Struthio camelus: one gene and its partners. The protein of the gene in region 1 purifies or fractionates together with the protein of each later gene. This does not show direct contact. Links are inferred from orthologs where the notes say so. Each region holds a gene or a part of one and is shown in the gene's direction. Other genes may lie near its edges.

What was found. Proteins that work in one complex are often made in the same cells at the same time.
Region 2: the proteins of TNFAIP3 (region 1) and CASP8 purify together in Homo sapiens (affinity purification with western blotting; 3 studies listed by BioGRID and IntAct, with this or other methods). This does not show direct contact. The link is inferred for Struthio camelus from reciprocal best matches to the Homo sapiens genes TNFAIP3 and CASP8.
Region 3: the proteins of TNFAIP3 (region 1) and RNF11 purify together in Homo sapiens (affinity purification with western blotting; 3 studies listed by BioGRID and IntAct, with this or other methods). This does not show direct contact. The link is inferred for Struthio camelus from reciprocal best matches to the Homo sapiens genes TNFAIP3 and RNF11.
Region 4: the proteins of TNFAIP3 (region 1) and MTOR purify together in Homo sapiens (affinity purification with western blotting, with the first as the bait; 3 studies listed by BioGRID). This does not show direct contact. The link is inferred for Struthio camelus from reciprocal best matches to the Homo sapiens genes TNFAIP3 and MTOR.

Annotation. Positions count from the first base shown.
Region 1 is NC_090944.1:74,591,481-74,598,987, forward strand, and holds the start of TNFAIP3 (tumor necrosis factor alpha-induced protein 3), read left to right. Parts: upstream 1-4,491; 5' UTR 4,492-7,507. UniProt on the Homo sapiens protein: Ubiquitin-editing enzyme that contains both ubiquitin ligase and deubiquitinase activities.
Region 2 is NC_090947.1:10,353,580-10,361,389, reverse strand, and holds the start of CASP8 (caspase-8), read left to right. Parts: upstream 1-4,801; 5' UTR 4,802-4,927; exon of another isoform or gene 4,928-5,138; intron 5,139-5,269; exon of another isoform or gene 5,270-7,810. Other genes in the region: caspase-8-like, read left to right, coding at 788-879, 1,530-1,641, 2,778-3,267, 4,146-4,296. UniProt on the Homo sapiens protein: Thiol protease that plays a key role in programmed cell death by acting as a molecular switch for apoptosis, necroptosis and pyroptosis, and is required to prevent tissue damage during embryonic development and adulthood.
Region 3 is NC_090949.1:31,029,986-31,037,621, forward strand, and holds the start of RNF11 (RING finger protein 11), read left to right. Parts: upstream 1-4,627; 5' UTR 4,628-4,772; coding exon 4,773-4,895; intron 4,896-7,636. UniProt on the Homo sapiens protein: Essential component of a ubiquitin-editing protein complex, comprising also TNFAIP3, ITCH and TAX1BP1, that ensures the transient nature of inflammatory signaling pathways. Promotes the association of TNFAIP3 to RIPK1 after TNF stimulation.
Region 4 is NC_090962.1:6,555,665-6,563,265, reverse strand, and holds the start of MTOR (serine/threonine-protein kinase mTOR), read left to right. Parts: upstream 1-4,592; 5' UTR 4,593-4,612; intron 4,613-4,665; coding exon of another isoform or gene 4,666-4,693; exon of another isoform or gene 4,694-4,882; intron 4,883-5,122; exon of another isoform or gene 5,123-5,236; intron 5,237-6,311; 5' UTR 6,312-6,354; coding exon 6,355-6,474; intron 6,475-6,837; coding exon 6,838-6,946; intron 6,947-7,601. Other genes in the region: UBIAD1 (ubiA prenyltransferase domain-containing protein 1), read right to left, coding at 2,223-2,710, 3,658-4,224, 4,666-4,693. UniProt on the Homo sapiens protein: Serine/threonine protein kinase which is a central regulator of cellular metabolism, growth and survival in response to hormones, growth factors, nutrients, energy and stress signals.

The DNA of each region.
Region 1 (7,507 bases):
AGTTAAAATATTTTCGGTCTTCTGCTTATTTCTTGTTGGGGGCTTATTAGAATCCTATCTATACATTGCAGAGGGTAAGTAACGCTGGGTCTTGCTCCTATCTCGAACATACACACATGTAGCTATCTGTTTCCGCAGTTCTCAGAGGCCTACAGGCTTGATCCATTTGGTACAGATAACACAGGAATGAATGACAGCTAAAAATCAAGTTGGAAAGTTATTATCCTTGCCATTGCAACCTTTTCACACAGAATTTCAGAGAATGTCATAAAATTGTGCTGAAAAGGCACTCTGAGATTTCATCTCATGGGCCCATTACCCCCATGCTCCAAGGCAAAACCAGCCAATAAGATAACCTGTTCTTAAAGATGTCCAGTGTTTGCCTCCACAGGTCATTTATTGCAGTGTTTCACCAGCCTTAATGTGGGAATGTTATTTTTAACGTTTAACCTAAATCTCAACAAAGGTGGCTAAGGCAATATTTGAGCTTTCATCTTTGGACCCTACTGCAGTTCCGGCCCTTTACTTCCTGATGTTTGCAAAATGGACATTAGAAAGAAGAGAAGAACAAGAAAAGAGTGAGGCTTGGACCAGTGGCATGAATAAGGATGCCTACTTTGAGTACAGTCCCTTGCCACAATATCTCAGCAGAAGTCTCCTTGGAAATATGGAGTTTTTCTTACTGTATTCAGATGAGCATAACGGAAAATTCACAAAAACAGTTCAGCTCTTGCAGAGATGAGTCTTGGTATTTTTTTGCCATCACTATTTGATTCTGTAGTAAGCACCAGTTTTCTGTCTGATTGAGGTTTAAGGGATTTTCCTCCCTCTTTTTCCTATACACCAACAAGTTCTTCTCATCACTTTGCCACCGCCAGGAAAAGGAGTAACGAAAGGGCTTCTGGAAGACAGAAGCGCTGAACTTGAGCGTGACCTCAAGCACTGCTATTGCAATAGAAGGGATTTCCCTTTTATGACCCTTTTCCTCCCTTCTAGATGAATCATACCTCTTACAGAATTATCTGATCCAAAAAGATCTGGCTAATGACTGAGTTATTAAAGCCTGAATATTACTATCCATAAACATTATCATAATAATCATCCTATGATAGAATGTTATAGAAGTATTGTCTTGAAAATGAGTTCTTCGTAAAGCAATCTCTAAAGTACTTGGTGGCAATCTTCTGAACACACTGAGGTCTTGGTTTAATTTAGTGAGCATGAACTCCTCCTTGCTGAACAGTAAAAAGAAGAAAAAACCTATTAAAATAATTTAGAGAAATAGAGCTGAACAAGGTCTTGGGAGATTCATTCTTCCTCCCAAAGCACAATTAACTAAATGGAATCATTACATATAATATATACATGTACATATATATGTGTGTGTGTGTGTGTGCGTGTGTGTGTGTGCATGTGTGTGTACACACTTCAAAAAGGAAAATTTTCCTTGCCCTTATATATGCGTATGCATGTATGTTCATATTCTGCCAAATATAAACATTGTATCATAAATAGTGGGATAAACTATGGGGTATAATTACAAGAAATAGGAGTATATCTAAAAAGAGGAATGTATATTTATTCTATAAATATTATATTCATTCTATAATTATTGATGTTGTTGATGTTTTTAATGTATTACTATATTGCCTAGGAGATCCATTTGACAAGATAGAACTTCATTTTGTGATGTGCAAACTCAGATCAAATGAATTCCTGCCATCCTGCTCAGATCTGTACACTAAACATCATCCCTTGCCATGCGCAATCAATTTTCAGTTTATCAAGGTGTAAATAGTAATTACGAATATTCAGATATGCTCAGAGTTTAGAATAACAAAAATAAGCTGCTGCCTTTTCAGGTTTTCCTGGGACTCAACGCTTCCCTCATAGGTTCAGAGCTATTACCTGTGGACCTATTAAATAGTCTCCTTACTCGTACTTATTTTCCTTTTCTTCTTCTTGTGAGCCCAAACCAGAAGGGACTAGAATCACCTGCAAATCCATTTGCTGTAGTTTCACGTATAAAGCAGGGTATAAATCAGTCAGTTTTCCCCTATTTCCTACCAGAGGTCTTCATTGCCACATCAGAGTTACACTCACCATCCCTTTAGACAACTCCTGTAAAACTAGCCAAGGGGGCATACTTCAAACCACACCAGACAAATGGTTTGGGTATTAAAAAAAGAAAAAAATAAAAAAAAAAATTAAAAAAAAGCTGTTTTGTAATCAGAGCGCTTCAGTAATCCGGTACCTCAGCACAAATGAGAGGGCAGGGAAAAATGTCCAGAAGCAGGGAATAGCAGGACTTTTTTAAAGTGGCTTGTCTGCTGAAGAAAACAGATTATACACTGGGTAAACCACACCCCAACTGCTGCCCTAGTTATGCAAGTAATCATTCAGGCCCAGTTCCCACAGGCACGCAGCCTCTCTGCACCGCAGTCATTTCTCAGACTACCAATCCTTGAGTGTGGATAGTTCCTAGCTAACTACTTCTTTGCAAGGCAGCGGAGAAGGCTAAAAAAGAGCTGCATTGAAAAAAAATAATCAAAATAAACCCTCTAAAAGAAAGGTATGCAAGGAGAGGAGGTTTTGTTAGAAAACAAATTAAAAATTGGAAGAGATTATTCTTTTTTCAAGCATGTCCCTGACTTCTTTTTCAACACAGGCAGAGAAGAAAGGACAGCACAGTACACTGAGCTAGACACAAGACCACTTTCAGTGCTGCGGAAGAGCATGCTGTCATATAACCACAGCATGTGACACAGAGGCATGAGCTGAGCCAGCTGGTGCTAATGGGAGCAAGGTAAGGGAGCTCAGGTCCGAAATCTTCCACGATACACCTGCTTTGTGAAGGTGTCAAGATTTAAGGCCTGTCTCCGAGGTGCAGCGCAACCCTAGCTTCTCATCAAGTCAGTGGGAGTAGAGGATGCTCAGGAACTGGCAGGAGATCAGCATCTACAAGGATAAAGTTTTTTAAGACTGCAAGAAACTCTGTTGCACTACATTTCATTTCTGTGTGCCTTCAGGTTGCAAGCCAGTGGGCAAGGACCTGCTTTTTTCCCAGCATAAATCACATTCATAAGTAATATCTACAGTCACAAGATCTTAAGTTACAATTACAGGTTATAGCTTTAGGTATCATGAAGTGAATTTTTCCATTGCAAAGATTTCAAGATGTTAAGGTATGAATTGATTGTAACCATGATCTTTAATGATTCTTATAGATTGCTAGGTGTAGCCAAGAGTTTACACAGTCTCACGTTCAGACCTGTTCAGACACTAAGATGCCCCTCTCTTGGCAACTTGAGTCAGAAGTCCTGTCCCTTTCCTCCAATGGCTTTCCCTTGAGCAGGACTGGATTAAAGTATATTAGCACTTCCTGCCTAAAATACCAGCCTATGCAGTTATATGATTATATAACAGAGCCTAACCTTTAATTTAAAAAAAAAAAAAACGAAGTCACTTGTGGTTACTTACAACACAAAGCCAAAACTATGGAGCAGATGTAACCTAAGACAAGAACACTGGTCTGAGTTTGGAAACAGTCAAGAAGAACAAGAGCTTCGGACGGGACGGGCTCCTTTCCCATCTCACTGGGATGTGACCGCCAGGATCCAGTCCCGGCAGGGCACCTACAACCCCCGGCTTCTTTATGTGCCCCCGGCTGCGCTGCGAGGCGGGAGCGGGCAGAAGGCAGGAAAGCAACGGCAGCCCGGGCTGGGCCGGGCCGGGCCGGGCGGCGCAGGGCGGCGCGGCAGGTCGGGCGGCGCGGCGCGGCGCGGCGCGGCGCGGCGCGGCGCGGCGGGGCCCCAGGGCGCCCCCTGGCGGCGGCGCGGCGCAGGCGGCGGCGGCTGCTGCCGCTGCCGGCGCTGCGGTTGTCACATGTCGGAAAGTCCCAAGCGCTGAAGGTGGAAATCCCCGGTGGGGGTTTTTGCTTGGGCACTAAAACAGAAAGGGAAAAAACAAGAGGCTCGGCGCAGCCTTTCATTCTGGAGCGGAGGCAGTGGCGGCAGCAGCTCCGGCGGGGAGGGGGCGGCCGAGGGAAGCCCGGCCCGACGCCACGAGTGACCCCGGGGCCGCTGCCAGCCCGGCAGCGGCAGCGGCAGCAGCAGCAGCAGCAGCAGCGGCGGCAGCAGCGGCGGCGGCAGCAGCGGCGGCGGCGGCAGCAGCGGCAGCAGCAGCAGCGGCGGCAGCAGCAGCAGCGGCGGCGGCGGCAGCAGCAGCAGCGGCGGCGGCAGCAGCAGCAGCAGCGGCAGCGCAGGCTCCGCGGGGTTCATGGCCCCCGCGCTCGGCCGCGCCAGCCGGCTGCCGAGCAGGACTTAGGAGCGGAGCCCGCAGCCCGAAGCCCGCCGCGCCGCCGCCGCCGCAGGATCCCGCCCGCCGAGAGGTAACAGCCGCTGCGCTCCCTGCGCCAGCGCCGGCGGCCCGGGCTGCCGGGCTGAGGCGGCGGGGGGAAATGCACGAGTGAACGGGGCTTCGGCGTGGAAAAGCTGAGCGCGAGTGGCGGGGGCGCGGGCCCGGCCGCGGCGTGCGTGCGCTCCGCCGCCCGGCAGCCAGGCGGTTAACGCGCCGGGAGCGGCTGTGTTGGGTTTTCTAGAGTTTTTGCTAGAAATCTTTTCGCCAGGCAGTGAAATTGTGCCCTCTGTTGACTAGCGGTGTTGCCGACTCACTCGGAGATCCTGCCGGTCGGTGGGGCTAAGGTCGGCTTCTCTCAGCTTGCGGTGGTTTTGTTAGGTCCGCTTTTGGTGCTTGCCGCTGCCAGAAGACTTTTCCACTTTAAGCTCTTCTCATTTAAATCTGGTAGTAATGCAGTCATTTGCATCGTATGTATGCATGCTTCCAGCAGACCAGTATGTTGTATAATTAATTATACAAAATAATCTTGTGGCTCATAAAACATTCTGAAATTCTAGTCTTGTTTTATTGTCTGCTAAATGCTGATAATATGCTTAATTCTGTACGAAGCACCTGGGCATAGAAATTAGTGGAAGCCAAAGACCATCTGGTTAATATGTATTAAGCATGTTTATTCGAGAGTTGCATATTATCTTAGCGTTTTACCAAAAATACTTTATTATCATCATTTTTCAGCTAGAAAACAGAGAATTAAAGTACCTTATGCAAGCCACTGGCAGAGCTCACAACGCACTTTGTCTTTTCCCAAGTGCAGCATCCTGTGCATTATACCTTGGGAAAAGATGCTGCATACGATAGCTGTTTAATCTCTGCTTACTGCTTTTTTCAGAGAATTCATAATAATTACATGTTAAAGTAATTAAGTAATGTAGTATGTAGTAAAGTCTAGTACAGTGTAAAGTCATATAATTGTAGCTGATTCTTCTGTTCTTTGAGTCTTATTAGCTTAGGTGTCTACTGAGTTCTGTTTGTTTTATCATACCGTCTTATAAAACAGTGGTTGTTCATTTACTACTGTAAATGGCACAGACAGTACTTTACATGTGTGGAGGGGAAAATATACCTGTAGAATATGCTATTGAATAGTATAGTTTCAGTGAATGCTTCTGTAAACTTAGTACTTTTTGTTACTTAATGTTGGAAATAACCATTTCAAAGGTCCATGCCAGTGGTGCTTAATCATGTGATTAGTCTTTATTCATGTAAAAAAAATCCCACTGACTCAATGGCTCTACTTGTGTAATTAAGGAATTCAGCATTCTGGTCTGTGCAAAATACAGCTGTGGTTATTAAATAGATTAATAAGAGGTTGTTTATATTTCATTTCTTAAACCATTCATACAATTACGTACAGGAATGCATCAGTAACATGCAAAACTATATTGTTTGGGGCGGAGAATGGATGAGAAAATGAGTTTATTCCATTTCAAGGCTGTGTATTCCTAGGGGGTGTGTTTAGAATATGCAGTCTTCATTAACTAGAGGAAAACTTTTCCATGTGTTCCCAGCTGTGAAGGCTGTGAGCACTGCCCTTTACATGAGCAGAGGAAATTTTGTGTGAATTACATTGCCCATTGGTTGAGCACAGTGAACTGTATTGCCTTTGCAGCATCTCATGCCTCACCTTCCTCTATTTAGGGCTTTACAGGATGCTCATTGACTCTCTAGATCAGTTGGCTCTGGAGGAGGATATACAAGACAGCTCTGGACAGGAGAAGTATGAGGTCTCCTCTTATCCTGGCAAAGTCCTTTCCAGGGCTCCAGCTGAAAGTGGATTTTGTCAGTGGTGGTGATGTGGGTGAAGAGAAGAGGGACATTAGTTCCCTGTGCGGAGGGACATGCTTGTCTCCTGTGCAAGAGGGTGCTTTGGCCTCCATGGGCTTGGGAGCACCTTCCCAGTCCGTCTGGCAGGTTATCATCCATCTTATTCCTTCTGGCCCTCCAGACTCCCATCTCCACCAGATAACTTCCTAATAGTTGCACTACCCAGTTTTCAGTAGTTTCTGGTCTCCCTCAACTTATCATGATATGTATCAAGACTAGCTGACTTGATGTTTGTCCCCTGTATATTTGTATGCGATTCATAATCGTAATGGTAGGCTCTCCTAATACAACCAACTGATTTCTAAATTTTAAATATGCATGCATTTATTTTTCTTAAAATAAATTTTGCTTTTTTTTTTTTTTAAATGGAGTAGTAATGTATCGGGTAGTGTGGAGGGTCTCTCCATGTGAAAATACATTGTTAGTAGTGTTACTGTTCTGCGCAGGAGTCTTGAGGGACGTGGTTCCTATATTTGGCTCTAGCTAGCCGCAACGTTGGTGTGCCCTGAACAAGTATTTCAGAGGGCATAGATAGTTTGAAGTTTGTTTTTTTTTTTTTTTTGTTCTTCCTGCTGTAGCCAGTGGGGCCAGAGGTACTGAAGAAAAGGATGCTGGCTGGCAGACATTACTGGTCCCACTGCGGAAAAATATTGGGGTTTTTGAGCCAAGTGGAAATGCTTTTTCAGCTATGTTGACTTACTGCTGAGTAATAGTGGGACTACAGTTTGCAACCCCACACGCTTCACAAGCACCTCTGTGCTATAGTTCTACTGTTCACATAACATAAGGAGCCCTGAGAGGAGTAGCATAAATCTGGCCTTCAGTGTTTACTCTGTTGGAAATTCCTCATTTGCCCTCTTCAGCCACCATAAGTATGAGGCAGATACTAGCATGGCAAGTAGTTATTCAGGCTGTCTCTTTTTGTACTGTACCAAACATCGCTTTTCAGAATGTATGGGCTGTGTGGAAATCTGAAATGGTCATTGTCTGCCTTTTTTTTTCTTTTTTTGGTCTGGCATGTCATCAAAACAAAAGGTTGAAACATGCTGAAAATTCAGCAGGTTCATAGGGGGTTGCACTATGCCATTATCAATTAGTCAAGACTCCAAGATAATTTTCCATTCCCTTGATCTTTCTTCTTCTATCCTTACTTTGATGCAGACTCCTTTTTTAACAGTGATACAATTTCCTTGGTTCATTATGAATAAATTCGCTTCAATATCTGAGTAAATGATCAAAGTAAATGATTGGGATTAGCTGTTTA
Region 2 (7,810 bases), on another chromosome or scaffold:
ACGAAAAGAGCACTTACGGCCTTTACAACCAAATTTCATTTAAACTCATCTATATAACTGACTTGTAAAAGGGGTATTGTGATTTATCTCCTTGAGTGTAGTCTTGGGTGTGAGAGTTTATTCACTTGTTTCAGGCAGTTGTATTCAAGGCAGCATTTTGTTGTTTTGAGGAAGTCTTCCATTATGTTGATGTTCTGCCTCATTGGTTTGTCCACCCAAGCAATTAAAATGCATTGGAGACGAGGTGACGGCCTCAGAAGTGAATGAGCTGAGTGTATCACTGAGCTGTATCACTGTACAAAAATAGGTCGTCTTTTTCACTTCTGTATCCTGTAGTGCGGATGCCAGTGAATGGCCTGCCTGGGGTGAGTGCTCGTATCCCGACTTAGATTTCCTGGATCTTGCTGCCAGCCGAAGGGCAGGGAAGGACTGGAATGCGATACGATTATTGTGGGAATGCAGCGCACACTGTCTTCCAGTCTCAAGCATCTGGCTGTGCCTGGGGGCTGGAAGTTCATTTTTACCTAATGGCTGTAATTTTGGCAGTATTTGCAATGGGATGTAGCAGTCTAACACAAATGTATGTTTTGTTCCAAGGAACGCTCTGCGCAGTTTCACTCTCCAGCAGTTTGCAAAAATGGAACCTTCCTTGACACAATCTCTGCAAAATAATGGTGTGAAAACCACCCCTTGCCTCACTCCTTGCATTGTTCTTTTGGTGTTGAAATATGCTAAGTGGAAGACTTATTCTTTTATTCCTAAGGTGTCCTGTTTATCCTCCTCTTAGGGAATGTTTCTGAGGAAAAGCTCTGCTATCCAACATGCATGTCTGTGAATCCGGCAGGACAAGGAGCAGAGGAGGGAACACAAGCACGCCTGGTGAGAAATGCCTCAAGAGTGCCTTTGAAGTGTTCATCCAGCTCGTGGGAGCACAGATCCCTAAAACTGAAGGGAGAAGGGGTAAAAGGGAGAGGACTTGGCTTCATATATAGGCTTTGGAAGGATTTTCATTTTCAAAAGAAGACCAGGCCTTGTCCCTTGGTGAGGACCTGGCTGCCTGCAACCTTGTAGACAAGAAATGAAAGAGTAGCTGTCATAGGAAGAAAAACAATCTTAAAGATGACAGAGACTGGGATGGGCAAAAGTAAGAGTATCCCATCCTCTTCCAGCTCAAGCTGAACAGATGGGAAGGGACCCGCAGCATCAGTTGCCTAACGAGAAACTCAGCAAGATTCTGAGAGGAAATGGTATGGTGCAGGAACCTTTCCTCTGCACATGTTTCAGGATATCCACTTTCCATTCCAAAATCAAATTGCAGCCACAGATTGAGAGAAGGGATTTCAGGAAAAGGAAGCAGCATTTTTTCCCCTGTACCCAGGGCTGGTTCGTATGTCTGGGCTTTTCCTTTTTTGTATCTTGGCCCTCATGATTTTTTCGTGTTTGGGCACGGAAGAGCAAAGATCTCTGCAGAGCATACATCCCTTGGATGTTTGGCACTGCTTTCTTACCTACTTTCTGTGTTTCTACAGCTTGTGGAATCATATAGGATGGAAAATAACCCCCATGGTTACTGTGTGATTCTTAACAACTACATTTTTAAAAATCCTGAAGGCATGAGGAAAGGAACAGTGAAAGATGGAGGTAAGTACTTTTTAAAATCCAACTATTGGTTTGGTTTTTTGTGTTACCCTCCGAAAGAATTGCCTAATCTTTCCTGTGAAGAACGGCCACTTTGACTAAGCTCCTTTGCTTCCAGAATAAGTAACTAGAGTGACAGTCACTGCAAAAATTGGAAATATGCCACTTCCAACAATTTTGGTGATGGCTCAAGGAAGGTTGAAAAAAAAGAGTATCATCTTAATTGTTTGTGTATATATCAAATAGTGAAGGAGGGATTACTATTCCGTCTTCTCAGGTTTTGATTTTTTTTTTTTTTTTACTTCTTAACTATCATAAAGTAACACTTTTTAAGTCCTTAAATTCTCTTTAATGATTTCTTTGCTTAATTTACTGAGTGAAAGGTGTAGCTTTGCCATGCTATCAGCTGAGAAAGCATTCTGATCTAGTCAGCATTGCATTTATTTGCAGCAGTGCTCAAATAAATGCAATTCTATTGCTTTATCATTTTCCTTAAGTCTTTCTTCCTGCGAGAGTCATTTGTTTATCTGGATAAACTAAAATCTGTCTTATAAAAGCATACATCACTAACATTTTAACCTTAACCTGTCTGCAGCCTTCTTGTTTCCCAGCTGTTTTCTCTCTGCCAACACAACACCAAGTCAGCGGTTGCTGAGAAGTCTGCATGGTACCTTGTCTTTGTTAGTGGCCTTTCCTTTTCTCTGCACTGATCATTCTCACATAATAAGGAACCTACATCATTTAAGAGTGGCAGAATTTATCATGCTAAAGAAATACTTCTTCTTTATCTAACTAAGGGCTGTTCTTAAGCATCTGAGATTGCTATGCAGCGTACGGTTAAACACATTGCATAACACACTAAGCTTCACTAAATTGTACTGATTAATCAGATAATCTGAAATCCACTTTTGTTTTAGACAGTGTGATGTTCACCTCTGTTGTGTTTAAAAAAAAAAAAAAAAATTAGGCATCCCTGATTTTTCTTAAAACTTGGCAGGCTGAGTGTCAGTCAGGTGAGTTTATTGGTGGGATCTGAATGCTTCTGCCAGTATCTATCCTACCACACAGAGCCTTCAGTTTCCTCATCTTCCTTATCACTGTTCATGTTTAACAAGTGCCTTCCAACTTTCTTTTTACAGAGGCGCTGAAGAGAGTCTTTAAGTGGCTTCAATTTGAGACAGTTGAGTACATGGATCTAGAAGCAAACCAAATGTATGCAAAAGTTAAAGAATACAGCAAGAAAGATCATAGCAAAATGGACTGTTTTGTTTGCTTCGTCCTTTCACATGGTGAAAAAGACAAAATAAAAGGCGTTGATGGGGAGTTTGTAAATATTAAAGATTTGCTCTCTTGCTTTAGTGGATCTAACTGTCCTTCTCTTGCTGGAAAACCCAAGCTGTTTTTCATCCAGGCTTGCCAAGGGTCTGTAGGTCATCCAGCTGTCACATTAAAAGAAGACTTTTCTGACCATCTTGAGACAGACGCTGTTCCTCTGGTTTCCATTCCCGACCAGGCTGATATTCTGGTTGGCATGGCTACTGTGGAAGACTTTGAGTGCTACCGCCACGCAAAGACAGGCAGTATTTACATTCAGTGCCTCTGTGACAAAATGGAGTTGCTTTGCCCACTGTAAGTACTGTTTTTAACCCAGGTACAACTGGGGTATTGTTGAAATACATACTTAAGCATGCTGTGCTGAAACATGGCTGTTTTGCATTTGCTCTATATAATGCTTTTCACCTGCAGAGCAGTGTCTGCTTAGTAATTATTCCGGAAGTGGGCACTGTTATTTTTCTTCTACAGATGAAGCAAAGTTCAAGTGACTTACCTAGTTTGTCTGTTACGGAACCAGAATTGTAATGTTGGAACATTACATATAAGCAAGTTTGTGTTTATATATTTGAACACACATCATCAAGTGTGTAAAACATAAAAAGCATGTAAAACAAGTGTGTAAACAAGTGTTTAATACATAAAAACAAGTGTGAACATGTTGTTTTAATGTATCTTTAAAATGACAAGGGATCTTTCTTCCAGTGACACCTGATGACAGGCAAATTTGTTGCTTGAGTACACAGGCAAAAAATTAGTACCCTTTATTCGTACTTTTCCCTGTTTCCTCGCCCATGTCCACCTCCCAACCCTAAACTTGATTTAGAAAATAACATTTCTCTCCAGGCACCGCTTTCTCGTGAAGTCCAGCGGACGGCTTGGAAAATGCATAAATTTGCTTCTGTGTCATCTTAGTGCTGTCTTTTGACCATAACCAAGGTAAAGGAGTGTGTTTGTTTGTAAAGTGATTCTACACAGAGGTTACTTTATTCCCCAGTACATACTGAATGCTGTGATTACACAACAGAGCGCGCAATTTCAGTGACAGACAGGATGACGGGAAGATACCAACATTCCCCAAGATCTCATGTTATTGGAGTAAACATAGGTCAACTTCTTGGCCTAGTTGAAAGTACCATGTATTTCAATGTACCTTTTCTTCATGTTTGTTCAAGGCGCAAGGACCTGGTAACCATCCTGACAGAAGTGAACAAGGAAGTGGGAAGAGCAGTACTAAATGGATGGAAGCAGATGCCAAAGATATCATCAACCCTAAGGAAGCAGTTGATCTTCCAAATTCCACAGTCCCAGTCAACTGAAAATTAGAAAAATAAGGACACGGTCAATTAGGAATCACTCTGGAAGGCGTCTCCTCATGGAATTCAAGAGAATTTGCAAGAGGAATTATCTGCATCTATGTAGTTAGTTCACAATCCTGCAAGGGGCCGCGTGGCCTCAATTTTCTGATTCCCATGCTTATTCAGTCTCCTGGCACCTGAGTTTGTAGCAGCCTAGTAGAGCAGGGGAGAAGTACGGACCTGCTTTCCTGTCCTGCAGAAGCAGTGTAGTCTGTTCAGTCCTTGTTTCGAGTGAGGAAGCATTTCCGAGCAGTATGATTCTTAAGCGTTGTTGGAAATGTCAGTGGAAATACTATTTTCAGTCTGTGTTGTTAAGAGAATACATCCTTGAAATCTGAAGAAAACAGCAATTAGATGCAGAGTGCAAGGATCGCTTCCCAGGGAGTCCAAGTAAGGTTTTAACAGATACATCAGCAGTGAATCATGGGCTATCTGGAAGCTGTATTCTTCACAAAAAATAATGTCTCTGCCAAGAAGGACCAAAAAGAGGTGGTGATGACAACAATCATGATACAAGTCTGCACTTCTCTGATTCTTTCCCTCCAAAGTTTTATTTGCTTCCTGTTATTAATTAACTCAGTTAAAAAGCACTGAGATTTGTAAGTTTTTTTTGATAATATGGGTTCTGATTGTGGTTTGTTTTTTTTTTTCTTGGCGCGCTTAAGGGCAGTCTGTATTGAATAACTGTCAGACATGTGGAAGGAAGGTCTCACTCCTTTAGAACCACAGTTCTGAGATGGCTTCCCCTCCTGGCAACTGACTCTAGGTGCCATGGGCTTTTTGTAATAAATACGCCTGGTTTCTCTGTCACCCTTGTCACTGTGGTATTTCTCGGATGAGTTGACTGAGGCATGTTCAGCATGACAAACACCTTGCTTCTTCTGGAAAAGTTATCTTTGCTCTCATTGAAGTGTTCTATGGCAGTCACCCTGGGAGGTGGCAGATTGATATCCCTTCTTTAGCAAATGGAGAAATGGTAGAGAAGAGTGAGCTAAAATTCAGGACTTTCATGGTTGTATCAGCTGCTGCGAGTAAAGCTCATTTTTTTTCTTGCATCTTTCAGCAATGAGTAGTGGCTTAGGGGAGCTGTGTGGGATTCTAAAGGCTGCATCCTTTTTGAGCTTTACAACAAGGTAAAGGATGGATCTGAGACATTTCCTAACTTCTGCTTGTTTTAGATTAAATTTCTCGGAGATCACGTCTAAGCTATAATACAGGGGTTCTTCACTCGATCATGCTTGTGTTCTTGGTGTGAGACTTTTTTTTTCCCCCCCCTTAATTCCAGGCAACGTGTCGGCAGTTGCATTTTGCTCCGCTTAATCTTTTTCACCTCCCAAGTAAAAGGGAGAATGTCCATTCCTAGAATTACAGCTTTGTTCATACAGGTTTCATACATAGTAAATAGAAGTTACAACCACTATGTAAATGAGTGTGGTGTTTGTGGCAAATATTTGCTGAAAGTGTTGTTAGTTACGGTGCAGTTTTGTGGTTGACATTTGGTAAACCATTTAATGAAACATCTAGCATCAATTTATTTACCTTCTTATAGTGTTTTCATAAATGAGGCCCTGCTATGAAGTTAGTAGTTAGATTTGTGAATGTTTTATGGTACAGAAATGAAGCTTAAACAGGGTAACTGCATCCTCTGGGAGAAACTTACTAGAAGATGACGGCTAAGATTGAGAAAATGTCATTGGTGAACTTGTGCATCTGCAGTATTTCTTTTTCTTCATATTACTTCCCCCATCATCAGCCTTGCATGGTGTTTTGTTCTACCTATTAAGCTGTGACCACTCATCTCCACAGCCAGTGTTATTGCCTGCTCATGAAGAGCCACTAAAAGAGAAAAAAGCCAGTGAAAATCCTCTAAAGCAGTAGTTCTCTTGTACCAATGAACTGTTGCCTCATAGTCAGGCTTATGAGTTACTATGAACAGGTAAGCAAATCAAGCAAGTCCAAATGAGCAAAGAAGTAAAAGGGCTTATCTCTGAAAGCACCCAGGTTAATATTTGCAGTTAATTTCATTAATGTCTCAGAAGGCATCTCTAGCTTGTACAAAAGGCATACTTGCAATGAAAACTTAAGTGTTTTCCTTATCAGTTTTTTTTAACATTGGTTTGTGCTACTGACTGTATTGCAGTGTTTTTCTAAGACCAGAGAAAGGTCAAGGAAAGTGAGGTGGGGGTGGAAGAAGGGGGAAATGTGTTAGGAGCTAATGTATTGGGAGGATAATGAGAAAAGAAAGTGATTGTGGCCATACAGACAAGGACTGGTGGCAGAGAAGAATGCCTGTAGTCTGTTCTTGGACACACTGTTGGATTCGGCTGTTCTGTCCATGTCCAGGCACAGCAACGAGAATTAGGAGCTTTGGTTCTTACAGGCCTTGAACTCTGGCACTGACACGATCTGTTTTCGTCCCCTTTGCCTCATGCATATTGAAATATTCCATCAAGAATAAGTTACGAAAAGAATCATAGTTGCAAGCCGTTGCAGGAAGCAGCCATACTAGGAATTTGTATGCCCACTGTGGCTCGTGCAGTGATCAGGGAGAAAACGCACTCTCAATTCTGTGGTCTTGAGCAAAGTATGATTCACAGACTCCTATGGGAGATTGGCTGATAAGTCTTTGCACATACTTGTGGCCCTCCCTGTAGGACTGAGGCAAGCCCCCTAGGACTGTTTGGCTCTACAGTTTTCGGGCTCTGTTTTTCCTCTTTCTCTACCTTTTCTGATAGCAGAGCTTGGAGAATAGTGAGCAGCCATTTCCTCTCCTCTGCAAAGGTCCTCAGCTACAGTTATTCACCTGTCTTCTGTTTTCTTTGACTCCTGGCGGGCAGGCCAAATGCTATAGTAAAACAATGCTGGCACTCAAGTCTGTGTTTGTTTGCAGCCAGCAGAAGTATCATCACTAGAAAGTGGAGTCAGAAAGTTGGTAGGAAAGTGAGGCCAGTGAGTTGAAGACCTACAGGCTTAAGCTGAAATCAGACAAGATCAAAGTGATGCTGTTTGAAAAGGAGAGAAGAGTTGGGGAGGATCACTGTCTGCAAAGGCAGAAACAGTGTTACTGGGTGATGTGAATCCCTGCCCTGTCATTTGCATCTTGTTACGTATTTGTTCAGTTTAATCCCTGAGAGCTGTTTGTGCCCGCCTTCCCTGGTGAGTTTGTCATTCTCTCCACTGAAAAGGTCTTTCGTGACCTGTCGTTCATCACCCACTGGCAGGATGGATTCCTGGCATGTGTGAGGAGCCTGCTTGTGTTGTGGATGCTGCCTGCTTTCTCCCATGGCACTGGCTGCTGAAATACATGTTTTCCCACTGGTTCCCACTGCCTGTATAAGGGTTCACTCTCAAATCGGTGAAAAGTTCAGCTACTGAAGAATTTTGATTAAAATAGTTGTTATGTCTGTGGTCTGTAACATCTCCTGCAGGGAATCTCGAAGCCCAGAGAGGGCGTTGAAACAAAATGCCCCCGGTTTAGGAGA
Region 3 (7,636 bases), on another chromosome or scaffold:
CCTAAACATGGAGAACAATCTATACCTTTTCTCTTTGCGGAGACCTTTTATGTTTTTGAAGATAATTATCTCTTTTGCCAAAACTTTTCTTTAAGCTAAACAACCCCAATTCTTTCAGTCTGTCCTATCAGATCCTGTTTTCTAGGTCTCTGATCATTCTTCAAGTTGAGATTGCAATATGTATTACACTAAGAAAAAGGAAAACTGACTACTACACAAAATTTACTGTGAAGCTGGGTGGCAGAGGGCTTGTTAGAAGAGATTACTTTTGTACGATGATTGTCTAATTTTGATCAAATTTTTTTGCCAAAATACATGTCCTTTTTCTGCCTTGTGACAAACTGTGTAGATTCCCAATGTAGGGAGCAGACATTACACTCCTTGGTGATAAAAACTTCTGGATTTGGAGAAAACAGCTATTATGGAAGGTAACTTATGCCAGTAATGGAAAGCATATCCTTGCCAAGTTGTTGTCTTTAGAATAAACTGATACAAGGGATATTTGTGATACTGGGCAAATTTAAGCAGAAGTTTAGGGAGTTTCTAGCAACATGAGCAAACTACTGTATCACAAAGGCAAATCACATTTAAGGCAAATACATTAGTTGCATAATCGCTCTATTGTGCTGCATTCACTCTCTCTTGGAAAATAATACACTTTGTAATATATACTCAGAAATGCCTATGATTCAGCTAAAATATCAACAAAACTGGAAACGATCGTGTATTTTGGAAGATGCTGTGTTATTTATAACCAAATAAATTAACTCAGCCATTCCTACAACCAAATTCACATGTATAATAGAAGAATGTCATTTAGCAGTATTCCCCAAAAGTATGTATCACATTTTTTCCAAAGAAGTTTTAAAAATTATAATGTGCCTTATTTATCAACGTTACCTGGACAATTGGGGCTGTCTCTGAAACTGTGGCTTCCATGGCATGGAAAGATTTCACTCAGAAAGTAACTGGGCTTCTGTATATGAATTGAGAAAACAATTTTTTCCAGAAGAAAGATGAGACGTGACCAGAGAGGGTAAGCGCTGGGAAGATAAGGCCGAGGGAAGAAAAGGAAGTGAAAAAACTTTTTCTTGCTGAAGGCTGAACAGGTCTTTCAAATACTTTTGGTGAGTATGACACATTAAACGTATGCAAAATCATGTCCAATAAAAAAAATGACCATGGGTTATGTAAAATGAAGCTGCCAATGGTTTTTTGAATCGCTGAATCAGGCAGTTTATGATGTCAGTTTTGCAGATAAACTGTTAAGAAGAAAGACTGTTCAGGTCCTCAGTGGGTTTCAGATTTTAAAATCCAGAAGAACTGTAGAGGTTTTTTAGTAGTGTAGTTCATCATCTCTTGATAGATCATAGGAGCCTTAAAAATACAGTGTTATGTAACTTGTCTCCCCTCATATCAAAAAACTCCAAAGTAAAACAAACATTCAATTGCTTGCATCCTTTATAAACATTTTTCCTACATTTCCATTTTGTTTTTAAAAATATATTTCACTTGGAAGATGCTAGCTGCTAAATCGTAACTACAAAGTGGCCAAAACAGACCTGTGTATGACGTTATCATATTGAAACTTACTGGAATATTATTCCTGTATACTGGCAAATTTCAGTAAAAACTTATTTGTGAGCTTCCAAGCCTGCAAGGAACAAGGATCTCCTACAGCATGCACAGCTCTGAAATGGGGGCTTGCTTTGTTGTGGTCTACAGTCATCTGTATGTACCACTCTGTGTGTACAAGGAACATCTCTATGTCTATTTTCACAAAAGCAGCTCCTTTTTTGAAGAGTCTATGTACTTATCTACAGAAAGTAGGTACAGTGAAGCCTGCCAGATCTGTTCAATTTTCTGTCACTTAATGCTGAGAAACAGTGAAAACAGTTCATGTGTTCTCTAGAGAAACTCCCACCAAATGGCTCTTGAGCACTGAAGACAACCAACCTCTGTCTTGAAAAGTTCTTCAGCTGCTCTCTCATTCCCAAGATGCAAAAAAACCATAGTTGGCAAAAGCAGCAGCCTCACAGTCCATTCAGATCACACTATAGCATATATGGTGATATTACAAGGGCAACTTTTCTGTGTTTGTGAGCACAAGAATTTCTACATTCTCAGTCTCTGGGACCGCTGTACAACTTTTGACCCTATGGTGCATAGTTATTATTAACCACCTACCTGAAAAAATAGGAGTAAATGGCCTAGAACAACAAGCAGCCTAAAGCACCCTGACTCTGAAGAAATCAGTAATGACTGGTAACGGCTTTTTCTCTTTCCAAGCTCTCATGATTGCAGAGCCTGCCATGTTGCAAAGCCCAATGTGAAGTGCTCCCTCTTTGGTCTCTGTGAGTCCATCTTAAAAAGTCGATCTTTTCTGGCATTTGACAGTCTTCTAAACTGAGCCTGGATTTAGAGTATCCTGTATGTGCTTATGGGCAAGGGCTTAGCACTTAATGTTTTTTCCTTTTGGTGATCTGACTTAAGGTAAATAAAGGCAGTATCTATACTCTGGCACCCCAGGGTATATCCCAGCTGAGTGCTGACTCCATATTGGGATGAGACCAGAGACCCGTTTCTGTACAGTGGTTTCTGAAGAAAGGGGGTTTTGGCATGCCAGCCAGAAGGGAGATACCACCTGCTCCTACAGGACGTCTATACTGTACGACGGAGAGAGCAGGATTGTAAGGTACACTGAAGCATGTGCCTGGCCCGTGGACTGTGCATAGCTACAGTCACTGTGCAGGCTTAATATACACAGTAGGAATAAAACATCAAGTGACAGTTGAATAAAGAAGTCTTTTTAATTGCCAGTAATCTTGTTCCCAACGTTGCCACTGCACAACTAAAAATATCTGTAACTTAGCTGGAATCTCCCCTTAAGAGTCTCACAAAAGATAGCTCTGACATTGCCGTAACCCTGAAATCATCCCTGGGGGAGGTGGTTGTTCACTGGCTCCTAACTATTGCTTGGCTTCCTAATTGTCCTATTAAACTAAGTCAACGTACTTATATGTTAAACACCCAAATGACCGAGTCACGTACAGTAGTCATTATTATACAGCACCCCATTGCCCAGCCTTTCCACCATGAGTAACTCGCAATTTGTGCACCATTTTTATTCTCAGTTTCTTAGCCAAACTGAAAACGTGCTTGAACCCCACAGATGCCAGTCATGACTATGCTATGGCTGTCGATCCTCTATTGAAGGTGTTTAGGTTATTCATTGCAGAGCAGCAATGCAGAACTCCTTAACAGCAGTACAAGGAAATCCTCAAGGGAGAAGCTACCTGGATGATCAGCCACAAGTCTGCTCCCCGTTCTTCACGCACCTAAATCCCCGCAGGACCCCTCGAACGTTTCAGTAAAGGCTGCAGGGCCAAACGGATCAGCGTGGCTGGTGGATGCTTGGACCTAGGATGGAAACTACAGCGCAAATCAGGATCAAAGTAGATCAGCAGCGAACGCTTGGGCATTTAAAAAACTGGCCACGCTACACCGTATTATATAGAGACTGCACTTTCTAAATAGCCTCATCTGCACCCAACTTGCTTAACTGAAAAAAAGAAAAGTAACAAAAATGGATTTTTAAACGTATGTCGAGGTCTGAATTTGAAAGCCAGTGAGCAATTTTGAGGAACTATCCTAGAGGACAAAGTTGGAAAGAACACCTACAGGATGAAAAATGGATGAAAACTCTTTCCCTCGTCTTGGTGTTTACACGCATGCTACTGTATTAACACGGTGGAAGTGCAGGCATTTACTTTGTTGAAATCCGCATTTGCATCAGAAAGTGAATAAAACACATTTTTATAAATAATAATAATAAAAAAGAAAGCTAAGTATGTGGTTTGTTTTGGTCTCTGTCCATGTATAAAACGCCCGAAAGGCCATCTCCAAAGGCACGCAAGGGAAAGCGGGAAGGTCGCCGGCCTCTTCCCCACCTCCTGCCACGCGTGTCGCCCGCGCAGCCCGCGGGAGCGGGGAAGGAGCCGCTCCGCAGCCCGCCCCGCGGAGGCCGCCTCGGCAAAAAAATAAAAAAAATAAAAAAAAAAAAGAGGAAAAAAGGGGAGGGGGCAGCAGCGCGGGGGCGGGCGGCGAGGTGGGTTCAACCCCCGGCGGCAGCGGGGCAGCCCGCAATGGCCGAAAACAACCCCCGCCCCCCGAAGCGCTGCCGGGCGGGGCGGGGCGGGGCGGCGCCCACCATTTTGGGGGTCGCGGTGAAGCCGCCTCCAGGCAGGGGCGGCCGGGACGGAGCCCCCCCCCCAGCCCCGCTCCTCGCCCCGGGCCTCGGCGGCGGCTGCTAACCTGGCGCGGGCGGGGAGGAGTGAGGGGAGGAGCCAGGGCGGCCTGTGCGACAAAGCCCCGTGCGCAGAGCGCTGCTGACCAGGAAGCAGATCCGCGCCTGAGCCGCCGCCGCTGCTGCCGCCGCCGGTCCGGGGCGGGCCGGCCCCACCTGAGCCCCGCTGCTGCCCCCGCGGGCGGCTGACGAGCGCTGTGTCCCCTCCTCCCTCCCTCCCGCCCCCTTCCCCGGCTCGGGGCGGCCGCCGGAGCGGGCCGAGGCGAGCGGGAGGCGGCGGGCGGGCGGCCGCGCCGCTAAGCCGCTGAGGGTCGGGGCGGGTATGAGCCTCCCCGGCGGGGCGGCTGCCGCTGCGGGCTGCGCGCTGCGGCGCGGAGGCTGAGGCAGAGGCAGCGCGGCCGCCGGGGGCCGGCGCTCCGTCCCCGCGGAGGAGGAGAAGCCCCGCTCCGCCGCGGGCGGGGGGAAGATGGGGAACTGCCTCAAGTCCCCCACGTCGGATGACATCTCGCTGCTGCACGAGTCGCAGTCGGACAGAGCCAGCTACGGCGATGGGACCGAGCCGGATCAGGAGCCGCCGCCGCCATATCAGGTGTGTGGTGGGGGGGGGGAAGGGGCCGCGGGCAGCAGGGCCCCGGGGCCGGGCGGCGGGCTGAGCCCAGGTGAGCGGCGCCCCCCCCCCCCCCGCCGCCCCCCATTTTCCTTCTGTGAGGAGCCAACTTCGCGCCCGTCCCCGTCCTGCGCTTGGCAACTACCTGAGCCTCCTCCCTTCCTCGTAATGTGCCCCCTTGGGGGAAGTTTCTTTGTTTCCTTCCGCCTCGCGAATTTTAGCCTTTCAGCCAATGAGATTATTTTATTATTATTTTTTAAGGGGGGGGGGGAGAGGCGCCGTGCGGGGGCGACTTAAACTGGTCGAGGAAGGCGCAAGCCCGTAGGTGAGGAGAACAAAGCAAGGCCCCTGGCAGGATGAAAGCCAGAGGAAGGGGCTGACTCTTCCCCCGGCACAGCCCTGGGCCCAGGGGCTGTGGCGGTGGTCCCCAAATCTCAGCTAGAAAGGGGAGACGCTGATTTTTCTCCCCCCCCAGCCTGTGCAGCCTCCTTTGTTGTCCTCGCGCGGTGACATCACTGTCTGGTGTTGCTCTTTTCTCATTACTCTCTTAAACGAGAGACCACACACGCTTGCACCCAAGCTGGTCTCTGTCGGGTTATGTTTATTCTAGCCTATACTTCCCTCCCTTATTTTTAGCGGTAACTGAGCCTCAGTAAGTAACTTTTTTAATGTGCTAGATCCTATTTCCTTCGGTTGTGTGGGATACCAGAAAGGAAACGTTTTCCCATTTTTTTTTGTTTTTGTTTTTTCTGCCTCCCAGAGCATGATTAGTCCTGATTAGGACTAATCAGGAAGGTTAAAGAAATTTTGGGGATGTTTTCTCTATAATTTTATTCGCAGCAGAGGATGGCATCGATGTAGAATTGCGAGGCCGTTGATATCAAAAAGCTTGGGTTTTGTTTTTTCTTTTTTGACCTCCGTTCGGTGGTGACCGCAGAAAGAAGGAAGCTGAACTTGTGGTTGCACTTGTCCACTCCTTGTCATCTCCATCCCCATATATAGAAACGTATAGTGCTCTAAACAAGCCATCTAAAGTACATGACTGTACAGCAAGAAAAAACAGCATAAGAAATAAAAATTTCAGTAGCATAACTGCACATTTTATTCAAGTTTCAGAAATACTGTACTGTCTGAGAGAATAAAATGTGTTCCGGAGAAATCTATAAAAATGACAGATTGACACACAAATCCTGAAGGGTGCCTTGAGAGCTCTTTATTTTCTAGGATGGGAGTCATTCAGGAGTTGCAGAACTGGCATATAATTATCAGAATTGCAGGAAGTATTTAACTGGGTAGACTTGTAATCTACAAATGCTTGTACAAGTTCAAGAATTACAGCCCTGATAGGAATTTTCTTCAGCATTTAAGAGAAGCTGTGTATGTAGCAGTCATTGATGATGCAGTGAAACAACAGTGGTGTTACTTGGCAGTCTGTAGCTGTTTGGTTTGTATGAGTGCAAAAAAATTAATATTAGAATAAATTTTCTCACGTGGGAGTTTTTCCTGACTTATGTCTGTTTAACTCCAATGAATAGAGAGTATTTTGTGTCAGGTGAACTCTTTTAAAGGACATGTTATTCTAAGCTAAGTTTAAGTCATCCATTCTGCTTAGGAATGCATCGTATTGTTGTTAAATAAATGTATGAAGCTTGGCTGTCTGTGCTGTTTGTTGCGTATACATCTGTGCTCTCTAAGAAGACTTGTGGAGGGTGTTTGGGGGTTTTGATTGTTTTTCCTTTTTCTGTTTTGTTTTTTTGGCCTTGGAAACAACCTGTAGGAGCCACAAATAAAGTATACGTGCTCTGTAGGCCTTCTCAGGTTGGTTTCAGTGGTGGATAAGTAGTCTTCCTCAGCCTCTAGGACTTTTTTTTTTTAATTAAAAACTTCTTGGAAATAATTGATGATGATTGACTGATTAAAATAAATGAACTTAGAGATGTCTGTTATTGAGTAAGTGCATTCATATTAAAATCCCCCGTTCTTGAATAAAGCGGTGTAGCATTAGGTGATGCGCACATAAGAGTTTGGCAGTCTTGAGTGGCGTTGGCTGCCCTGAAACCCTGCATGTGATCTTCACAATCCCTGAATCTTAGGGTTAGGGAGAACAAACTCCGTCCGCCTTAGTGCAGGATTTTGTGTGAATTTCCTGCCTCGTATAGTCAAAATTCAAAGCTACGCTTTCCGCAGTTGTTGAGCCACCATGGCTAGTGATAAGAAGTCAACATTGTCTGCAGTACTGTACGGTATTTCATGCCCTTTGAGGTCAAGGGAAATATGTTACGTTTAAGGGATAACTTTGAATGGTTTTAGGTAGGCCAAACTCTAAAGTTGAAGAAGTCTCTATGTTCCGTTACGAAAGCAATAGGTAACTATGCTATTTTAACTTTCGGGTGACAACTTGAATTCCACTGTTACAAATGGGTGGATTATCCTTATGTGTGATAATTACTTCTTTCAGTGTTTTAACCAGAATTAGAATATATGAGAGAATATATAAGCCTGAGGAAGGAAAGCAAGGAAAAAGATAAAAAGAGTTTGAAAACTTGCTTGTGGCAACTAGCAGCCTGAACAAGAATACTAGTAGTTTGAAATCTAGCTCCTGAAATTCAGCCATAAAATGGACATATTTTAGAAGTCAATGAAACGTGTTATGTTTGCTTCTTTGGGTTTGCAGCAACGATGTGCCAGCTTTCTGAATTGATGCTGGAAGGTGTGCAAACTGA
Region 4 (7,601 bases), on another chromosome or scaffold:
ATGCTAGGCTTAACCTAATAAAACCACCTATCCAAAAGGGTAAGATTAACAGATTAACCAACTCAAGCCATGTCTTTTGCTTCGCAGAAAAGTTAAGTGGGTTTCTAAGCTAGACTCTTCTTTAGGTCCGCAATGAAGTAACAGTAGACACTGGGTTGTACACAACTGTCTTGAAAGCTGCTTCCAAAAGCTTCTGGCTATCTCCCTCCATTTGGCTGAGCTGAACTTCAGCATCTTCTCATCCTGTTCCTAACCTATACAAATCTTTAGCTGTAGAAAGCAGCACCCAGTTGCCTTTTGGCTTGTGCCTAGTCAGATTAGAGATCATCTGCCCAATTTTAATAAAAGGTGAACCTGGGGCTTGCAAAATCTGCCTGGAGAGAATCCTTATAGTTAACTACAACTCAGCTGTGAAGCAACAGACCAACAGCCGGGTAACAGGAAGCCATAAAAACAGTCACTTGAACTAACCTCGTATCCACTCAGCTTTACCGCTGTCAGTACGCTCCACTAATGTAACACCCAGCATTTTCAGATGAACACCACAAGGGCATAATTTACCTAGGACAGATGCAGGATAATGCTAAGCTTGTGTTGGTAGTTTATTGCTCACCTTTAAAAGCCTACTCTCGTTTGATTCAAAAGCAAGGTTGTGCTCCAGGCACCAGCAGCTCCCGTCCAACAGCTGTATCGATTCCAGTCAACCTTTTCACAACTTCTGTGAATAAACATTTCACCAAAACCTCACGTATAAGAAACCAATACTTTTTCTTCAACCAAGAAGAGAGTTCAGGTGCTACCAGGAAACACGGAACGGACCAAACTCATCCTAGGTTATGGCTCCACTGAAAATCACTGGTATTTCCCAGCTGAGTTTGGTATGGTCTGTTTTTCACACAGCTACATATTGACTGAAATTACCCATTCCCCAAAAGGCCATGTGAATCAAGTGGCAAAACCTGCAGAAGAAAATTAAAATCATAAGGTGTAGAGGTGGAAAGAGGTGGGGAACCCCACTTCACAGCTAACTTATCACATAAATGTGTTTTCAGTCATGCAAACCCTCTACTCCATTAGAAAAAGAACATGTTAGCAAAAATATTTCCATCCCTTTCCCAGTCCCAATTTTTGGGCCGAGCCAATGCAAGAATCCTGATTTCTTCCTTCTAATCTTGTATCTTTTTCCTTTGTTGCCACCAAGGCTTCTTACAGGGCCTCTTAAAAAACGACGTTCAGCTATAATACTCTGGGCCTCTAAATAAAAAGAGAGAATGACAACTGGAAAAACCAGTTTTTCCAACTAAGAATACATCCATTTATCTGTATCCAGCCAGAGAATTCTGTCACCCTGTCTGTCAGATCCCCTCAACTCCAAGACTGTCATTTCAGAGAGTAAATCCTAAGCAAATGCAGAAATGAAAGCCACTGGTTTTCCTAGGTGTTGAGGGCTTTTCAGTTGCATAATTTGCATTTATGACTTCAACTTTCTTAGAGGGATAAAGTTTACTGGTTTTTGTCTTAAAGCTTATGCGGTGGGCCAGTCGTGCTCCATTTTAGCATCAGCATACCACAGAAACACATTGACTATAAGGAACAAGCAGAGGCAACAGCGAATGCTTGTGTATCTGGTGTCTTCCAGGGGCTGGGAAACATAAGTTCAAAGTTCGGCTAGGAAAAGAAAAACAAAAAAGATTAAAACATACAACAGATGAAGATGAACTATGGTCACAAGGGAGCGAAGCGAGAGCGCCTGCATTGTTGTGACACTAAACATTTGGCAGTGCTTTGTGTTTACCGCGCAGGAGACACTGGAAGCCCTTGACCGCGGTAAAGGAGTCATAAGAGCAATCCTTGTGCTTGTAAATGGAAAGGAGAGTTTATATTTGAGGCTCAGGCTTATTTCCGTTAACTTAACGGTGAAAGCCCCTCAGAATTCAGTGGCAGAAGCACAAGGTTCTTTAAACGTTTCCTTGTTCTCAAGTTGCATTGTTCCTCCTGAAGCAACGCAGCGCAGGTCATCCCTTCCAAAGGACTGACAAAGCACTTTTCAGAAATCTGTCGTGCAAGCTAACTGAGACCAGAAATTATAAAATTCACATACAATCATGAGCTCAAGAAGGTCTCTCCATTCTTCCTACTGTCCGTAACAGGTCATCCACCCACATCGACCACTGTTAATTGGTGTTAATACTGAGTTGTGAGGCCTGACTCTACAGCTCCTGTTACAGTTTGGGGAGAGCCCCGGCTGGTGCTAGGGTAATACCACAAACATAGAAGAGCCCCAAGAGGAGATTGAGTTTGGCTGTCCGCTGAGGAATTTTGTTGAAGCTCTGACTCCGAAACTGCCTCTCCAGTGAAAATGCCATTGGGATGGTGAGAAGAGGCAAGGCCATGCTGATGGTGTAGCGTGTGGCCAACACACAGAAAATCAGGTAGGGCAAGAAGAGCAGCACGGTGTAGAGAATGTAGGAGAAGGCAGGGCCGATGAGGATAGCCAGGGTGACAATACCCGCCTGTTGGTCAGACTCCATGTCTCGCGTGTTGTTGCTGTGCAGGATGGCCTCGGTACTGAGAGCTAGTGGGATAGCGTAGAGCAGCGGTGAGACAGACAGATAACCAACCTGCACAGCATGGGCAAACATGACAGCCAGGGGCCCAAAGGTGATCAGGATCACCACGTCTCCAAGTGCAACATATTTAAATCCAATTCCTGTGGCAAGACACAAGAATAAAATGAAGTGTCATCAAACGACTCAAACTACAGAGGAGAATGGATTTTTTTTATAACAGATCAGCTGTTCCCACAGAAGCATTGTAAAAAAACAACAGGTACATACCTAAAGCTGACAAACGTTCTCTCTTTTTTTCTTTTCTAAAGGTAATAAAAGAAAAGCAGCTTCTGAATTTCTCCAGCCAAACCACTCGACAAAATTAAGGGCCGGGTTCTAATACCCTTCTTCACACCAAGAAATACCCTATTTCCACAGAAATCAATAGAAATAAGGCACTCTCTACAGTGATCAGACATACTAGATCTGACCCTGAAGAAACAGATAAAACGCTCAGAACAAAACACAAAACTGACAAGGCTCTTTCAAGTAAACTCATGCGACAGTTAAAAGTTTGCTCCTGTTTTCCTAAGCAAAATATTTTATGTTTGTATTTACCCAACCCAGGAAGACATCAAAACATCCTCTTCTATGCAAAAAAAAATTCTCTCCTTAGTAAAAACAAATACAAAAACTATTCTACAGTCCCAGTGAAACTCCTTCTGAAGAATAACAACATATTCCAACACAATGCATAATGTAATTCTACCCATAAAAAAGAATATATGCAGTGAGCTATACAGTCAAGGGACACCAGATACACATCATCCAACGTTTCAGCAAGTTTTGAAAAGCACCTAAAGTCATATATGCAATAATGTCTCAATAGCACTTGCCAGCTGAAGAACTGAGTGCATCTACTCCTATGCCTTCCCAAAACAACCAGTGACAAAGAATACCAGTCTAAGTATCAGTACTCTAGGAAGTGTCACCAAATAGCTGTACAATAGTTAACCAGATCACTTGGAGCTTCCAGAAGCCCTTAGATAAGTCAGTAAACTCTCCCACGTCCGCATCAGAATCACAGGGAATGGGATATAACGCTTACCTCCAGTATAAAGGAAGGAGCTGGAAAGTCCCCCGAAGTAAATCAAGGCCAGGTGCTCCAGCTTGAGTGTAGAGACACAGTAGAGCCCAGCAGCACAGATACAGCCCACAGTGTAAAGGAAGACTCCAAACCGGACTACATCCTGAGGTTCTAAAATCTGGTCCACCAAAGTCCTGTCATCACTCTTCTTGTGATCAATGCCTTTGGAGAAGTCATAGTAAGTATTCACCAGGTTGCCTGCTCCATGCACAGCGAGGACAGTCACAGCGCTTCCCACCAGTAGCCCTGGATCTAGTGCTCCTTGGGCCCGGTACGCCAGGGCGCTGCCGAGCGCCACCGGGGTGAGGGAGGCACTGAAGCTCCAAGGCCTGAGGGCCAGCACGTAGGCTGCACATTTCTGCCTCCAGGAGCCGGGGGGGCCCCTCTCCGGCACAGCCAGCCCGGAGACGAAGTCGCTCCTCTCGCCGCCCCGGGGGCTCTCTGCGCCAATGCTGATCTTCTGCATCAGCTCTCCCGACCCCATGCTCTGCCCGCGGTCCCGGCCACACCGCCTCACAGCAGCAGCACCTGGGAAGGAGAAGGGCCGCGCGTCAGCCTCGCCGCCCGGCCCCGGGGCCCCAACGGCCGCGGGCCCCGCGGAGCAGCGCCACGGCCGCCGCCATGCCGGGCGGGCAGCGCCTGAGGGGCCGCGCGCGCCGCCCTCACCCGCTCTGACAGGGCGCTGCGCGCGCGCCTCAACGGCCGCCGCCGCCGCGCGCCCCAACCGCCGCCGCCGCGCGCGCCCCAACCGCCGCCGCCGCCCCGCGCGCCTGCGCCACAACGGTCGCAACGGCCGCTGCCCCCTGAGCCCCCCCTCCTCCCCTTCCCCGCCGCAGCGGCGCCGCGCTGAGGGTTCCGCCGCAGCGCCGGGCTGGGGAGGAGACGGGGGGAGGCCCACGCAGCTCCTTAACGGCCCGTAAGTACTTCCCGCCCCGGTGTAAACGTTAAACGCCCCGCGTTGTTACGCACGGCTGCTAGTGGTCACTTCGAAGCACATGGGACGACAAACACGCCGGCGCTGCTACACGGTGCCATTACGGTAACGGAGCACGGCTCCGCCGCCGCCGCCGCCGCCGCCTTCCCCCCGCCCCGCTGCCCTTGGCGCTGTCATGCGAAGCCGGACACATTTCAGTGCCGCACACCGGGCGCAGCCCCGCTCCCCTCCCTCCGCATGCGCAGAAAGCGCACACGCTTTACGGAGGGGCGGAAGCCGGTGGGAGTCCGGAGGGCAGGCCTAGCCCGACTTTTCACCAATCGAGCATTCCTGGCCCTCCCATTGGTCACTCCGTACTGTCAGTTACTCCCAGCTGGCTTGATGATTGGTCGAGCCGCCACAGTCGCTCCTAGCGGTTCTCGGGAGAAGGGGCGGGGCCGGGAGGGCGCCTTCCCTTCTCTTTTTCTACTGGCCGAAAGCCGTGCCCGTCAAAGTCTTTCGGCGCGCCTATTGGCGGGCGGCGGCTGGCCGGCCCGGCAGGCGCGGGGGGAGGGGAGGGCGCAGGGGCCCGGAGCGGGGGAGCCGGTGGCGGTTGGGGCGGAGGCGGTGAGTGCGGCTCCCGGAGCCTCCCCGTCCCTCCGGCGGGAATAACCCCCCCCCCTTTCCCCCACCTCGCCGCTCACCGGGCCGGCGCCTCGCGCCCCGTCAGCGGCACCGGCCTCCAGGCCGGCCGCGGCCTCGCCGGCGGGAGACCCCGGCCTGGCCCGCCCCACCCCACCCCACCTCACCTCACCGGCATCCCGGCGGCGGGGCCCCGGCGCCGCCTCGCGGCGCTCCCGCTGCCGCCTCACGGCGCTCCCGCCGCCCGGCTCAGCCCTGGCGGCGGCCTGAGGGGGCCGGGGCCGCCCCGCCGTTTCTGTGACCTCGGTGGGGCTCTGCGGCGGTGCGCGGGGTAGAAGGCGCTCAGGTGTCGCTCCCCGGCCCTGCTGGGTGCAAGCGCGCAGCTTGGGTTTATACAGCCTGAGGATCCAGGGGGGTTCAGGACTTCAGGGGAAAGACAACTTTCCCCAAGGAGAAGTGCTCGTAAGAAAGTTTGGTTGTGCGTTGCGATAGTAAACATCCTGTTGCAGTGATTGCCGTTGCTGACAGTAGACTTCCCCCTTATAAATACGTGCTGGAGGATGTAACGCTTACCAGGCCCAGGGTGCTGAGTCTTGGTTGTGTAGCTAGACCAGCGAGGCTTTTGGGGAGGTCCTTGGGCGAAGGTGTTCATGGAGGAGTCAAATACGGCAGCGACACAATGACAGAGCTACTTATTTTGCCTACTTTTTATAGAGTGATTCTAGAGCTTGGTTCTACCCTAGTATCTTTTCAGCTGTCGCATGCCCTTTAACTTAGGGTTAGATCCCCATAGGATTAGGAATCTGACCTATTGGAGGTATGTTTGGGGAACTAGGGAACGAGGGAGCTGGGTCATGACGTTATGTGATGATGTGGTTTTATCACAGTGTTGTAGGGCCTAGGGAAACTAGTCGTTAGTTATATTTTTTACACTCTTTCAGAACAACTTCCTTTCAAGCTTTGGGATGTGTATTTTGGAGACAGTCAGTAGGGGCAGTGTCAAGGAAGAACTTCAGATGTATGCAATAGCTGAAAGCATTAAAAAGATTTTTCTCTGAAGTACTTACAGGACTTGATGCGCCGAGCCCCAGCACACCGCCATCATGTCAGGCACTGTGTCCATTCTCCAGCAATTTGCCAATGGCTTGAAGAGTCGCAGCGAAGAGACAAGGGCAAAAGCTGCCAAGGACTTGCAACACTATGTCACCATGGAGCTCCGCGAAGTGAGTCCTGCAAATGAGAACGTTTATCACATGGGTGTAATGCATTGGCTGGGTACTTTGGGGGTGGAGATTTTGGAATATGGAAACTGTCTTAGAGAGGAGGTCCAGCAAAGACTGGAGCTTACCTTTGCCCTGGCATGTGGGCAGGGTGCCTGAGTTGGGGACTCCGGTGATGGCCAAGCACTAGAATAAATACAACCTGATAGGTCTAGGGCACAAAGAAGAGCTATACCATTTTGTGTTTGTAATGTATGGTTAACTTAATTTCTTTGTGTTTAAGGGACCTGGAAAGCGTTGTCTTTTTGGGGGTGTCTGTGGTCGTGGAGAATGATGAAAGTTGATTTGAACTTTTTCATTTTGCAGATGAGTCAAGAAGAATCTACCAAATTTTATGATCAGCTGAACCATCACATATTTGAGCTGGTCTCTAGCTCTGATGCAAATGAAAGGAAGGGTGGCATTCTGGCTATAGGTGAGTGAAAGTGCTTAATGCCTTTGGTGAGTTTTCTCTTCACGCAACTACTCTTTAGGGACAGCTTTTCAAAAGGAATGAACTTTTTTGATCGTGGCCTTATGTTTGACCGCTTAGTACGCTGGGTGCGTGCTAGTCACTGGGTTCTCTTGAAAATCTGTCCAAGAGCGTCAGCATGGGAGCTGCTGAGTGCTGAGAGTGGCTGAAAACCTGGTGCTCCGTGGGCGCTGAGCTCTTCTGGGAGCTGAGCATCGAATATGAGCGCCGAGCGCTTGAAAATTCTGATCTTGAGCTCGTCTGAAAACAGAGTTTGTGCTGTCCGCTTATGTGTGTCATGGTGGGCTGACTTTCCGAGCTCCGTTCTGCCTGAGGACATTGATTCCTGTTATTTAAATTCACTTGGCTCAATGACAGCAGCTTCCATCCCTGGGAGGGGCTCACGTAGCTTTTGCTTTTATTCTCATCAGCTGCTCTATCAGTTGCTCTGGTTGTGCTTTCACTGTGATATGGCAGAACTGCCTGCATTGCGACTCCTAGGGAAATCAGCTTGTGTAGCCCGTATTGTAGCATTTGCTTTTTTTAATAGCCAAATAGGAGTTGCCTATGGGTTAGGCTCGCAGACGTAATCGTCCGACCCCAACATATTTGAAGACAG